Linked DNA regions of Rattus norvegicus. The protein of the gene in region 2 purifies or fractionates together with the protein of the main gene of each other region. This does not show direct contact. Links are inferred from orthologs where the notes say so. Each region holds a gene or a part of one and is shown on either strand. Other genes may lie near its edges.

Region 1 (7,502 bases), on a different chromosome or scaffold from region 2:
TTGTCCTCTCCTAGCCACAGCATTATGCTGTCAGAAATGGAGACTGGCTTCATCTCACCTCCCTTTATGGGGCTACTGGGAAGAACAAAACACACTGTCAGGGTACCCCGAAAATTAATTAGGGGTGTACATCTCTCCTTAGCAAATTAAGTAGGGGTGTAGACAGCTGAAAAAGTTCATACAATCCACCCTGCACAAATTCCTGAAGAAATCCTTCCAGAACAACTCATGTAGGCCACTGCAGCCCTTCCAGAGCTGAACCTGGGTCTGGAGAGAACTCTTCCAGGACTGTCCACCAGTCCCAGTCCCTTTGCTGCAAGGAACTTGCCGGCCAGCAGAGGCAAGTGATTCCAAGTAGGAAATGATGGCCATGGTGTCTGCTTCTGGAAGAGTGAGAGGAAGACAGCAGCTCTTGACATCTGTTCCAGAGCCCAGCAGTGGTTGAGTCCTCCTTCACCAAGCCTTCTCTGTCCTCCCACTGCTCTGTAACCAGGGCTACAAAGCTGCCTTTGGCAGGTCCCATCTTGAACCACCATTTCACTATTTAGCTATGAGACTGTTCTGTCTGTCTTTCCACTGTCTTTAAAAGTGAAATATGTTAACCATAAGGTCACACTCACATTCCCCACAGACATATCTCAAGCCACCTGTGATTTTCTCAGTCACTAATGTTCCCATTAGGCCATTCCACAGCTGGCCTTCAGGACTGGAGCACAGGACTTCTTGAGAAAATGGGGACTTAGAGGCAACTCCTGAATCATAGGCTCAAGAGTTGAAAACAAAATTCAGAAAAGAAGGACTCTTCTCTAGGAAAGGGGGCAAGACATGGAACATATATGAGGAGCTGATCTCTCAGGAAGACATGGCCCAGACTTTCTTCAAACAGCAAGGGCACCACAGGACTAAGAACCCTGTTACTGGCCAAATGGGAACTCACTATGATTTTTGCGTAAGAGTAAGTCATACCCTTCACCTTTATTCATAAGACAAACAGATGTACAGTATAGTTCAGAGACTGTCAACATGTTGAGCTGAGCAAACACACTGAGGTGCGTGAGGCCTCCACAGTTCTCGAAGTCCGTTAGCTGTCTTTTGGAGAGAGGGGCCTTCCTGAAGTACAGACTTGGCAGGTCAGTGGTTGCTGCTGCTGAGGCTTGAACACAGACCAAGGATGGCTATCTTCCTGAGACTTCCTTGGTCAAGGAGCTGGTCAGTCAGATGTTCCTAACCTCAGAGACTGTGGACTTTAGGTCAGCTGCCTGGCACTGATTTTTTTAAGCCAATAGCTAAATTTGTTAGCCATAATTGCATACTCATAAAGGTAAGCATTACATGACACCATTCTCTGTCACTTCTCTCTAAAGAGGGTTAATTTTAGTGTTGACTCTTCAACTCTGTCCCCGTTTTGTATTTTTTCCATGAACATCCTAAATATGTGTCAATTACCAAGTGGTGGAGCTCATAACTGGGCAGATCAGAGCAAGAGCAGAGATCCCTGCACCAACATGCGGCTCTTACCTGGGCCCTGAACAATCACAGAGACAATGCAAATGGCCGGGCACCCCTCAGCAAGAAATGGAGGACAGTGCTCCAGGCTGATTCTACAAAGAGATTCTGCAAAGCTAGCCCCTAGAACATATACCTAGTTGTTTTTGTGGATAGTCACTGACACATTGCATCTAGGGAAACACTCCCCTCCTCACTCAGAGATAAGTTCTCAACTCCAGCCACAACAAGGTCTCCTATCACTACAGCCCTTTGAGATACACACTCCAAGCAACTTACTCACAGGCCAATGAGCACTTAGGACCAAGGGAAGATTCAAGAAACTAAAGTTGGAGGCCAAGCATGGTGGCACATACCTTTAATCCCAGCATTTGGGATTAAAGCAGGTAAAAGCAGACAGGTTCTGTGAGGACACCCTGGTTTACATACATAGTGACTTCCAGAGACAGTCTCAGAAAAAAGACACAAACTAAAATTTGGGCCCTCTATCTTCCTTCTTCTATCCCCAAAGGGTCTTTTAGTCAGACCCTTACCTAGCACTTGGACCCCACCTGATCTACAACATCATGACTACCTGTCAAAGCACTTGCTGATCCCAACACTCTCACATGCAAGCAGTCAGGATCTCTGAGAAGATCTCAGCAAGGAGTTACACAGGTGTAAGATTTACAATGTGGAAGAGAGGAGCAGTGATAGTGCAAGCATTTAATCCCAGCACTCAGAAGGAAAAGGCAGGAGAATCTCTGAGGCCAGCAGCATGGTCAAAGAGCAAGTTCTAGGATAGCCAGACCTACACAGAAGAGGAACCCTTCTCGAAAAACAACATCAAAAAGATTACACTATACACTATAGCTTCAGCAAAGATGCAAAAGCCATCAAGGCTATGTTTTCCTATCACTTATTTTTACCTTTTAATATCCTAATATATCAATCATGTGATTAGTCAGCTATTACCAATCACTGGCAAAAAACAAAACAAAACAAAAAACCCTTAAACCCGCCCCCCAAAAAAGAAAGGTTTTCTAGAAGATTTTTATCTAGCCTGTCTCTATTCCACCACAAAAAAAAAAAAAAAGTCTACAATATTTACTAAATTACTATCGACGTGATCCTAAAGACTAGGAAGAGAATAATTTTGAATCTGGCAAGTAGATTCTCATAGAAACTAGAACATCTCTATTTCTACCAAGACCACACAAACAATGTGAATTATTCTGAACACACAATACAGCACATTGCTACAAGTAACTAGCCAAGCATAGGCAAGGGAACCCAAAAAGGTTCAAACCTCTGTTACCTGGTCCAAGATGATTTTTTTTCTTCCATCCTGGGCATATTAAAAAGTGATCTCAAAAGCCACTTCCTGGTTTCCCAGCAAACACTTCATATCTGAATGCCTGTGCATCTTCCCATGGCCCTACTCCTGACAGCAACAAGGACACCCGCCCCCTGCACTGCCAACAAACCTTTGGAAAAAATACAAGAACAAGTAAAATTAGTCTACACTCACACAGGAAGAAAAAAGGCGTCCTACTGCTCACAGGACTCTTGACAGAGGAAAGTGTGATCCCTTACAATTAAATCTTGACAGCCTAGAGTCCAAAGCACCTCAGGTGGAGCAAGAGAGATGGAAAGAGGACCGGAAGATAGGGATAAGAGAACAATCTACTGTGATCGGCAGTATTTCAGTACTAAAATCCCAGGCTTTAGCTACTGGTCAGACGCGCAATGGAGCATTTAGGCCAAGAGAGGTGACAGGAAGGGTCCCACTCTCTGCAGAGTCGTCTTTTCTAGGAAGCGACCCACTATCAGAAGAGAGGATACTCTCCAGGCATCACAGGAAGACAGACTGATGGCAGAACAGGCCTAGGGTTCCCTACGAATCCAAGAAGGGGATTCGCTAGAAGACCGAGGGGGAGTAAAGGCCAAGACTCCAGAGACGCGGGCTACCCGAGTCATCGCGGAGACACCAGTTGCTTTCTACCTTGTCCCCCGGCAGGGAGACCTTTCCGGGGGGTTCTCAGTTCCCGGGGTTGGGGTGAGGCAAGAAGGGCACGGTGGGGAGCACCAAGGGCAGCCGGGCTGGGACAACCGAGGAGAACCAGCTCTCATCAAAGCTCCGAACGATCCCTCAGTCCAGGCCGCGTGAAGCCTCGGCCTCAGGTACCCTCAGCTGCCGGGGTACCCGCCTTGCCTTCGGCCTCCGGACCCAGGAGAACGAGACACCGAGATGGCAGCGGCCGTGGCGGGCAGATCACCGCCCGGAGAGAACCCCTGGCAGGGGCGCGTCGGAGGGGGAGGGTCCCGACACATGCGGCCTCGGTCCCCGATCGCGCGGCAGTCACTTACGTTGCTCTGGGAGTCGATGGCCTGTAGCAGCCGGTCCCTCATCTGCTGCGGAGACGCCGGAGCCGCTGTCATTGCCTGGGCGAAGCGGGGGGGAGCGGCCGGGCCGGCGGGCGGGCAGGCTGAGGAGGGGGGACGCAGGTCAGTCACTCGCCGGCCTCCGGGAACGGAGCCGCATGTTCCCCGCGGCGCCAGAGGAGGTCGAGGCGCTCGGGGAGATGGCGGAGGACGGAGGAAAGCGGAGGGGACCGGAGCTCAGGCCCCGGACCGCCGCCGCCACCGCCGAGCAAGGAGGAGGAGGAGCCGACGGAGAAGCCTCCGCCACTACCGCCGCCGCCGCCGCCTCGAGAACCAAACTCCAGTGAGCTGCCCCCGCGCTGAGCACTCTGGGTAACCCGCGCCGCACGCAGCGTCGGCGCCACGCTGAGGAGGTTGGGAGATGGGGGCGGGTGGAGACGCCGGGTTTGGGAGGGGCCGGCTTGTGAGCCCCGCCCATTGATTCTGCGCACGCGCACGCATGCGCACTTATCAGGTCCTGCCGCCGGGTTCTAAGGCCGGATCCAGAGAGCCGTTGGGAGACGGTTGGGCGTGGCAACGGACGCTATCCGAAGGTCACGCCCACTCCGGACTAGGGGGCGGGGCTTCCTAACGGAAGCTCACATGCCAAGTCCTGGAACACCGGCTCTTCCTGCTAACTGCTTTGGGGTTGCGGAATGGTAAGACCCTCCACCGGATGAGGACCTCTAGCTTTGAGGAATCAGAGGATTGGAGCGGCCATAGGGACACTAAGAAGGGCAGCGGTTGTCTGCGTTGAGACCCGTGCGGCGAGTAGCTCGGAGAATCTAGGCGCAGCCGTCGCCGCTGCAGAGGCCCCAGGCGCGGATCTGCAGGGCAGTGAGTGTCCCCATGTGACCCGCGCGCTGCTGGGACCTAAGGGCACGTATGGGAGCTGCCGCCTCCGCCGAGGGCTCGAGTCTGCAAGGCATGCGCGACGCTGACACCTTGGCTGTGCATCCACGAGGGGCTGGAACTCAAGAAGAAGCACCGCTCTTTTTTTTTTTTTTTTAATTCTTTTTTTCGGAGCTGGGGACCGAACCCAGGGCCTTGCGTTGAAGCACCGCTCTTGTAGCCCTCCTGAGAGGCGAACTGGAGGTGGCCAGTCTTTGTCTGCACAACAGGATGCGGAACCATCGCTCAGCATCGTCCCCTCCGCATTCGGAGCGGACGGAACGATCCCTGCTTTGCACCCCAGCCACTGGAAAACAGGAACGCCTCACCGAGGAGGAAGGGAAGCGCCAAGGTCACCGTGAGTTTTAGGTCAAACCAAGAAACGAAGGATATCAAGTATAAGGGCTGTGGTCTCCGGCAGGTGGAGTGGGAGGGCGGGCTCCGAGTTTAGCGCACTGTATTACAGTGGCTTCGGGAGAAATAACTTTCGTTTTGTGTCGTAACCTTAAAAATCCAGACATGAAACGGAAGGGAAACAGGTAATGAAAATCACATGTACTCCTGAGAGCTGCGGGACACCTGTTAATTTTAATTTGTTATACTTCTAGGGAGTGCTGGAGGGAGGTGGGGAACCAGGCATTTTTTTCCAACGCTCGGGAGGCTGGAGGGTTTCTGGAGTTCAGGCCAGCTTGGTCTACACAGTGAGTTCCAGACTAGTTCTCTCCCACCCATCCACCCAGAAAATAAAAGCATGGCTGGTTTCTTGATTCTTTATGTGACAGAGAACTTTTCATTACACCAGTACAATGAACACGAACAAATACACTCTCTCCCTGGCACGTGTTTGGAGTTCATGGTCCAAATTGGAAAGCAGCCCATTTTGAAGACTCACTTCTCACCAGATAAGCAAAATAAACAAGGTCATCCATCAACATTGGCTCCTAGTTCGGTGCTTTTCAGCAGGGTTTATGAAGCCTGAACTGGTCTCAAACGTTTTGTTCCTATCAGTGTCTCCCTGGTGCAGGGTTTCGTGTATGCCAACTTACTGTCTTTTATTACTTAATAGTTGATTTTGGTTTTTTCCTCCCCTTATATAGGATCTCACTGTGGCTGGCCTGGATCTCACTATTCAGTTCTGGCTAGTTTGAAACTTGCTATGGAGACCAGGCTAGCCTCAAACTCACAGAGATCCACCTGAGTCTGCTGCCCAAGAGCTGGAATTAAGTGCATCATCCTGCCCTGCAGACCTGCTATCCTGTTTATTCAGTGGTAGAGTATGCCTTTTATCAGAACAAGTATAGATTAAGCTGGCAAGTAGTTTTGCATGGATCAAATCAGGAAAACATCTTGGACAGTATTCAATTTACCTGTTGACTTTGCTATTTTAGATTTCTCCCCAGATTTTGAGACTATATGTAGTCTAGGCAAGCCTTGAAACTTTTTCTTTTTTGATATTAATGTTTTGCCTGTAGTATATCTGTGCACCTATGTGTACCTAGTGTCTACAGAGGCCAGAAGTAGTTGTCAGGTCCCTGGAGCTAGAATTATATACAGTTGTGAGTACATACTGGGGATTGAATCTTGGTCCTTCTTGGACAACAAGTGCTCTTAACTGCTGCCTCATCTCACAGCTCTGGCCTTGAGCTCCTCATGCTGCCTCCACCTCCTCAAGCACTAGAATTACAGGCACGCACCACCCACCAGACCTGGCACTTCTCTTTTTCTCCCCTTTAAGATTTATTTATTATCTATAAGTAAACTGTCCCTGTCTTCAGACACACCAGAAGAGGGCATCAGATCCCATTATAAGTGGTTGTGAGCCACCATGTGGTTGCTGGGAATTGAACTCAGGACCTCTGGAAGAACAGACAGTGCTCTTAACCGCTGAGCCATCTCTCCAGCCTCTCATTTTATTTTCTTCATGGTTAATTTCTATGCTTAGCAATAGCCGGGGTTGGGGATTTAGCTCAGTGGTAGAGCGCTTGCCTAGCAAACGCCAGGCCCTGGGTTCGGTCCCCAGCTCTGAAAAAAAAAGAAAAAAGAAAAAAAAAGAAAAAAGAAAAAGCAATAGCCTTTAATAGTAGCACTCAGGAGGATTTCTTGAGTTCAAGGTCGTCATATAGGTATGGGGAGTTGAATTCTGGACAAGCAGCTAGCATTCATAACAGTCAAGCCATCTCTCCAACCCATTTTCTTGATTTGTTTTTTTCAAGAAAGGGTTTCTTTGTGTAGTTCTGGCTGATCTGAAACTCATTTTATAGACCAAGCTGCCCTCAAACACATAGAGGTCCACCTTCCTCTGCCTTCAGAGTGCATGACTACAATATTGTGGAGTCCTATGCACACAACTTTATTCTACTTGTTCATTTACTTAAGTTTGGTTGTTTGTGTATATATAATAGTGTTTGTGTGTTACACCTATGCAGGGGGACCACTGCCAAGAGTCAATTCTCTTCTTCCACCATCCTGGGGAATCATCTTAGGCTTGGCTGAGTAAGTGGCTGTACCTGCTGAACCATCTGGCCATCTGGTTCTGCTTTTTTGAGAGGGTCTCCTTCTGTATCCCAGGCTAGGCTTGAACTTGTAATCCTCTTGCCTGAGACTCAAGTGTGTTCCTGTTTAAAAGTGACACTAGCTGGACCTATTAACTCACTTCTGTGATCCCAATGGTCAGAAAATGGAGACAAGAGAACCAAGAATTC
Region 2 (6,551 bases):
CTGGTCTATGGTTCGTGCAGGAAGGCCTATGTTTCAGCCACTATGCTGTCTGAAACAACATATCTTGCTTCTCCTACCTCTTTGTGCAGGAAGCAACTTGCCATCTGTGTGCCATGTGTAGGTAGCCTGTGGTGCTGTGTGAATAGGGTAAAACAGTCATTCTTTGAGGGTCTCAATGCAAGAATGAGATGGGGAGAATTTCGAGATTGGTCAGGGGAGAAGATCTGATATGGTAAGAGGTGGGCATGGCTGAAAGGCAAGTGTTGCATCCTCTACCAGTGCTACCTGAAGAGAGAGGAGAGAGAACTCGGGAGGGGTAGTGTTTGGAGAGCCTTGTATGTCTGGAGCTGGGGCAGGTGGTGAGGAGAGAAGACAGTGATAGGTGAACCAAAGGTTAACCTCTTTGATTCACATACAGGTTGTTCAGCTGCGGCTGGAGCCTGCAGACAAGGTGCCCATCCTTGGGTAGCATGGTCTAATTTTTTGATCAGGATGCCGTGAGTGCAAAGGAAAGTCCAAGCTGGTGACCCAGGACCCTGAGGGAATCTCTCTCCTTTTCAGTAACAGAGAAAGGTGCAGGTTAAGTCCAGAACAATGTAGGGCAGGATCCTGGAGGAAGGCCTGTTAGAGCTACGAAATGGCTTGGTAGTGGGTACCCCAAGGGTTCATATGAGGGTCCAAGGGCTGCCTTATGTAGGGGGCAGTCAAGAAGAGAGCAAAATGGAGTCCAAGAGTGTAAGTAGCCAGCTATCCCTAAGAAGGACAGAATTCAAGTAACTTGGTGTCCAGAAGGAAGGAGAGTGGTCATCACTCTGATACCGTGATGACCCCCTAAGGCTCCCTGTCAAAGATGGTGGTGGTCAGGACAGGAGAGCTCGGGGCCCTTCAGTCATCCATAGCCAGATCAAGGAGGTCAGCTGAAGGGTGGTCTGGGCTTGATGTCCTCATACCATGAGGGACATGGGGCAGTAAAAACCCCAGTAACCTTCTTGATGGCACCTTGGACATGGACCAGGTGGTTTATGAGGGTTCAGACAGGCCTGGGCCCAGAGACCGTCCTGATCACATGTGAAGCAGGGTCATGGAGGTTCTCGGGCTATGGGGGCCAGAGAGCCTGGGAGCCTGGGCTTTTGCTTTGGCTGCTGAGGTCTGAGCTGCTGTCACGTATTCTTGTTTTTTGTCTCTGTAAAAAACAATTATTTTCCTTTTTCTACCTCTCCTCCTGGAAGGACAACTCTGAGACTTTAGTAAATGGCTAGGCCTCAAGCTTTGGCTCATTCCCCGACTAGCTTATAACTTATTTAACCCATTAAATTACTTTATCTTCCCCATGGTTAGTTTCCTCTCCTCCACTCTCTCCTGAGCTCAGCTACTGCTGCTTTATGCCCATCTCCTCGGTGTTGCCAGCAAATCTCTTATTCACACCACACCACAAACCTCACACAAGAGATTAGCTGGGAGGGAAACTCGAGGGGGTGGGGGTGGCTGCCTCTGCTGAGGCCAGAAGCAGCAGAGAACTGGGCAGAACACAGGGTTTATATAGGGTTGGGGATGGGTGTTTCCTGGGTGTTGGGGATTGGTGGGATTTTTTTTCTTGTACAGTGAGGCCTGGCCACTTTTGTGCCTTGAAGGTTTATAGAGGGAAGGGACCTGTGGCAGGGAAAGCTTGAGTAGAGTGAATGACCAACACCAGTGAGCCCCGCCCTTCACACAGCTCTTCTGTCCTTGGTCTGGGGGGAGGGGCACTGAAAGCACTTCCTGGCCTATAGCCCTGGATGTCCAGCCCCTGCTGACCCTATGTTCCCATCCCTGTGACTCCCTTTAAGACAAAGCTAAAGCTCCCTGGGCCAAAAACCAAGCCCCAAGCAGGACCACAGCTTCTTGGGTGAGGTGGTAGCTGTTAGCGCCTGGGTAAGGATAGTGTCTTCTACAGGGTGTGTGAGGTGAATTTCGTCTTCTCTGGGGACTCCGAGGTGTCGGGACAAAGAGTGGATGGGCTGGCATTTGTGAACGAAGATGTGGTGGGTGAGTGAACGTAGCTGGGACCCCTGGGCTGGGGCCCAGCTCTGAGGGTACTGAGGCGCCTGTTAGGGAGGTTATACTGACAGCCCGCTTGGGCACACAGTCAGCCTGGGCTCATGTCCCCTCTCCCTGCAGCCTCCAAAGGGAGTGGACAGGGCACCATCTACCTGTGGAGCTGGAGCCAGACATGGGCAAGCCGGGGCAGCCAGTCGGTGTTGCCTGTAGTCATCCTGGCCCAGCTGCAGTGGTCACCCACCAGCCTGGCCTACTTCTCACTGAGCACCTGTCCTGGTGAGCCTGCCCACCCCGTTACACTCCCTTCCTGCCCCCGCCCCTGCCCTCGCCCGGCCCCATCTCAGGCTCCCGCTCGTCCTGGCAGACAAAAACCTCGTGCTGTGTGGAGACGAGGAAGGCAGTGTGTGGATCTACGATGTTGAACACCTACTGAAGCAGCCACCTCCACTTGAAACAACTCTGCAGCCCCCAACACAGGTACTGCTGTGACGTTGGCTCCCTGCAGACCCTGGTTACCCCTTGGCTGCTGTGGGATAGGCAGGAGCCTAGCATTTGCTTTTTCCCTCCTAAGATCCTGAAGTGGCCTCAGCCAGTAGCATTGGGCCAACCAGTGACCAAGACCATGGTAAACACAGTCGTGGCCAATGCAGCCTTCACCTACCTCACTGCTCTGACGGACTCCAACATCGTGTCCATCTGGAAGACATGCTAGCCCGCCCAAGGCAGTGTGTCAGGACATGGCTTATTAGCTTGGGCCTAGTGCTAGAGGGGTTTGTACCAGTGAGTATTTTTTATTAAATTCTACTGTCGGAAGTGAGTGCAGTCACACAGGCTCCACTGGGGCTCCTACCTTGCTTAACTCAGGCAGGCCCAGCAGTCCCAGGTTCTGCCCAGCCTGTGGTTTGGGTCTCAGTGACAGGCCACATGCCGCACAGCCCCTCTTTTGCTGTACTTTATTAGGAAAATAACAGTCTATGTACAGAATGGGACAGTGTCCTGTGCCCAGCTGGAGAGCTGAGAGTGGCTGTCGCCATCGTGGTGGACGGAGAAGGGCAGATACACGCACCAGCCTTACAGCCACTGAGCTTCTTTCAGCTGCTACTCAATTCCTTCTTGCTTGTCCTTGATGGCCACCTTGATGGAGGACAAAGGCAGTGACTATGCTGGAATCACCCTAGTGTATCGGGACTGCAGGGCACCAAGACTCTGGTCCAGAGGACATAGCAGGAGGCAGACCAGGGGCTCCAGATACCTCAGCAGACTTCACCCACCCTGCTCTGTGGCATCTGCTTGCGGAGGGCCGGGGATGGAGCCGTGTGGGACACACCCAATTGGGTGAAGCATCAAAAAGTGTGGCTTACCTTACACTGAGGGCACCTGACTAAACTGTCATTCCTACCCTGGGAAGAATGGCTAGGCTACTAGACAAGGGCTTGGAGTCCTTGGGCCTTATGAGCCAGAGTAGCCAGTGGCACAGGGACAGCCCCCACCCCACACCCCACCCCGGGGTGCTAGGGATTGTACCCAAGGCCTTGATGGTGCTAGGTAAACATGAAACCAAGCTACGCCCCAGCATACATGTCACGGGGATTCTAAGTGCTGGGGCAGCTCCACTACTAAATGACACAGCATAACGCACAGCCACAGCAGCAGCCCACCAGTGTCCGCCTAACCCCTGCTCCTCACCCGGAATCGCTCCTCCAGGAGGGAGAGCTCACTGATGAGGTCTGTGATGGCATTGGTGAAAGCCTCCTGGGGGCTGTAGTCTGGGGTGGTCTGCACACGAATGATGATCTTGTGCTCCAAGGGGTGAGGGACTTTGTAGCCGGCAAACAGCACCTGCGGGTCCTTCAACAGCTGCCTGAGAAACGCGGAGTTCACAGTGAGGGAGGGAGGTCAAACCTGGCAGCCGTGCTGACCAAGGGCCCCCCACGCGCAGTTGGGAATAAGTGAGTGGTGCAGGCCCTCATTCTGGCAGCTCAGAGGACTGGGAGTTCAAGGCCAGCCTAGGCCGCTAAGTGAGCCCGTCTTAAGACACGGCTGGGGATGGAGCGCCATGGTAGAGTAACTTGCCTAACATTCATGAGGCCTGAGGTCCCTCCAGGCACTAGAGTGGGGAAAATCAAGTTACAGGGACCCAAGACCATATGGGAACCTTGTGTCTACAAGGGTGAAGGACCCTGTCTGGGAACCACATTAGTTGAGAACCCATGACCGTGTCTGCAGGCCTCACCTAAACCAACGGCCCCATCCCTAGGTACAGCAAGCAGGCCCAGCCAACCTTGTGAAGAGTTGTGGAAGTGGGGGCTGGAGATGGCTCAGTGGGTAAGAGTACTGGCTGCTCTGCCAGGACCCACGTAGTGGGTGGCTCACCTCTCACCCAGTCCCAGGTGATCCACCCCCTAGGACCCCCAAACACGAGTGGCAGACTGGACTGGAGAGATGGCTCAGCGGTGGAGCACCTACTGCCCTTGTACAGAGCCTAAGCAAGCGGCTCATGGCTGCCGACATCCTCTTTAGCTCAGACACTCGCATACACAGACCTTTCCTAGGCTGCAGGCTGAGCTAGAGAAGAGCCTTCGCTCCACGGCACCTGACAAGCATCCGGCTCTGGAGGACCTGATGCCTTCTGGCCTTCACGGGTGACAAGCATAGCCGGTTAACAAGGCAAAGCAGTCAGGAACAAGGCTTTTTTTTCCCTCTTTTTAAACTTACGACTCTTACAGAGGATCTAAGTTCAGTCTCCAGCACCCACGTCCCATGGGAGCCGTCTATAATTGCTGTTGGAGGGAATTCAGTACCATAGAGGGCACTGGCAATCACATAAGGAAAAAACACAAAATAAGTTTTAAAAAGTTGGAGGCTAGCCCGGCAGCGGTGGCGCGCGCCTTTAATTGCACACAGCACTCGGAGCAGAGGCAGGCAGATCTGACTTTGAGTCCAGCCTTGGTCTACACAGAGAAATCCTGCCTCAGACAAAAGATGGAGGCTAAAGAAGAGTTGCAACCACCATCAGCGCAGATGCCTCTGCTGGCCTCTTTATCTTTTTTCAGAGTTTCTCTTGGCTGTGCTGGAGCTCACTATGTAGACCAGGCTAGCCTTGAACTTTATAGGCTCCACCTGCCTCTGCCTCCCGAAGGCAGGAACTAAGGGTGTGTTCCACAACACCAACACTTGCTGGCATTAATGCTGCCTCTTAATGCCCACTAAAATGAAACCCTGCTTTGCTAGAGCTCCCTGACTTGATCTGAACCAAAAGACCAAGAGGCAATTGCTGGGGCTCGCTGCAGTTGTACACCACACACGCAGGCCAGCCAGCAGGCAGCTGGGATCCCAGCACTTGGAAGGCAGTGGCGAGGAGGAAAGGAGTCCACAATCAGGTCGTCCTCTGTTACACAGTCTGAGGCCAGCCTACACTACACAAGCCCCTGTGTCAGAAGCCAACACAGGAACAGCCTTCTGTGGACAGACCTGTGAGGCCAGGTTGATTTACTGGAGCACAGAGGAGAGTGGAAGACATTTGCAGGACATGTGCTCAGCCTACAGAGCCCTGGTGGTACTGGCAGAGTGTGGTACTCACCCAGTGTGGGGGGAGACTTACGATTTAATGATGTTCCCCAGAGTGTGGTCTTCTTTGTTGATGGTGAACAAGCAAGCGTTGGGCACCTTGGTGTCCTTGTTAATGGTGATTCTGGAAAGAGACAGAGGCAACAGCTCAAGCCCACATCCAGCCTTGGGATACTGGCCCTGAGCATCACAATGTCCCCATTTGTGCTCAGACATTCTTGAACCTGCAGTTGGGCTGTTCCCACTACCTCAGAAATTAAGGTACCTGGCCCTTCCCAACGTATGCGCTGACGAACAGTTCCCTTAAACTAGCTCTTGACTAAGTTCTTACTAAGAAGACAAGAACCAGCTGGCAGTGGTGGTGCCCACCTTTGATCCCAGCGTCTAGGAGGCAGAGGCAGGTGGGTCTCTGAGTCAGAGGCCAGCCTGGTCTACAGAGTGAGTTCCAGGACAGCCAGGGCTACACAGAGAACCCTGACTTGGGGGCAGGGGGTGTCAGGAGACACTTAACCCCTAACAATCAAGGCAGGCCCACATCCATCATTCTGCAAGTCCAAGCTCCACTAGACCCAGTGCTACTGGGAATTGAACCTTGGGTTTTGAGCATGATAGGCAGAGCCCTCAACCACTGAGCTATAGGTCTAGCTCTTGGAAGCCGTTTTCAGTCTGCTCACCCATTAAGGACCCTGCAAGAGCTCTGGCATGGTTCAATAGCCGACCATTTTCCTCCCATGTATAAGCCTCTGGGTCTCTCAGCTCTACCATTCCCAACATTCAAACAAAGTTGGCCTGCCTGGTAGATAAGACCAGTAATCCAGCAACCTGGGAGGCTAAGGCAGGAGGATAAAGAAAAACCTCAGCCGTCGTCCTGGCTTTTCTCTTTGCTTAGGCTAGGGTCTCATTTGCCATGGGGATAAACCATGCTAGCTGACCCTCCTGTAACCACT

Evidence for each region. The genes of interacting proteins can lie anywhere in the genome.
Region 1: the proteins of Polr2j (region 2) and Med26 purify together in Homo sapiens (affinity purification with mass spectrometry; 5 studies listed by BioGRID and IntAct, with this or other methods). This does not show direct contact. The link is inferred for Rattus norvegicus from reciprocal best matches to the Homo sapiens genes POLR2J and MED26.

What each region holds. Positions count from the first base shown.
Region 1 is NC_086034.1:17,330,463-17,337,964, reverse strand, and holds the start of Med26 (mediator of RNA polymerase II transcription subunit 26), read right to left. Parts: upstream 4,196-7,502; 5' UTR 3,928-4,195; coding exon 3,856-3,927; intron 3,832-3,855; exon of another isoform or gene 1-3,831. UniProt on the Homo sapiens protein: Component of the Mediator complex, a coactivator involved in the regulated transcription of nearly all RNA polymerase II-dependent genes.
Region 2 is NC_086030.1:26,176,836-26,183,386, forward strand, and holds the end of Polr2j (DNA-directed RNA polymerase II subunit RPB11-a), read right to left. Parts: intron 5,729-6,551; coding exon 5,639-5,728; intron 3,899-5,638; coding exon 3,724-3,898; intron 3,172-3,723; coding exon 3,136-3,171; 3' UTR 2,814-3,135; downstream 1-2,813. Other genes in the region: Lrwd1 (leucine-rich repeat and WD repeat-containing protein 1), read left to right, coding at 1,934-2,025, 2,158-2,313, 2,402-2,514, 2,609-2,749. UniProt on the Homo sapiens protein: Core component of RNA polymerase II (Pol II), a DNA-dependent RNA polymerase which synthesizes mRNA precursors and many functional non-coding RNAs using the four ribonucleoside triphosphates as substrates.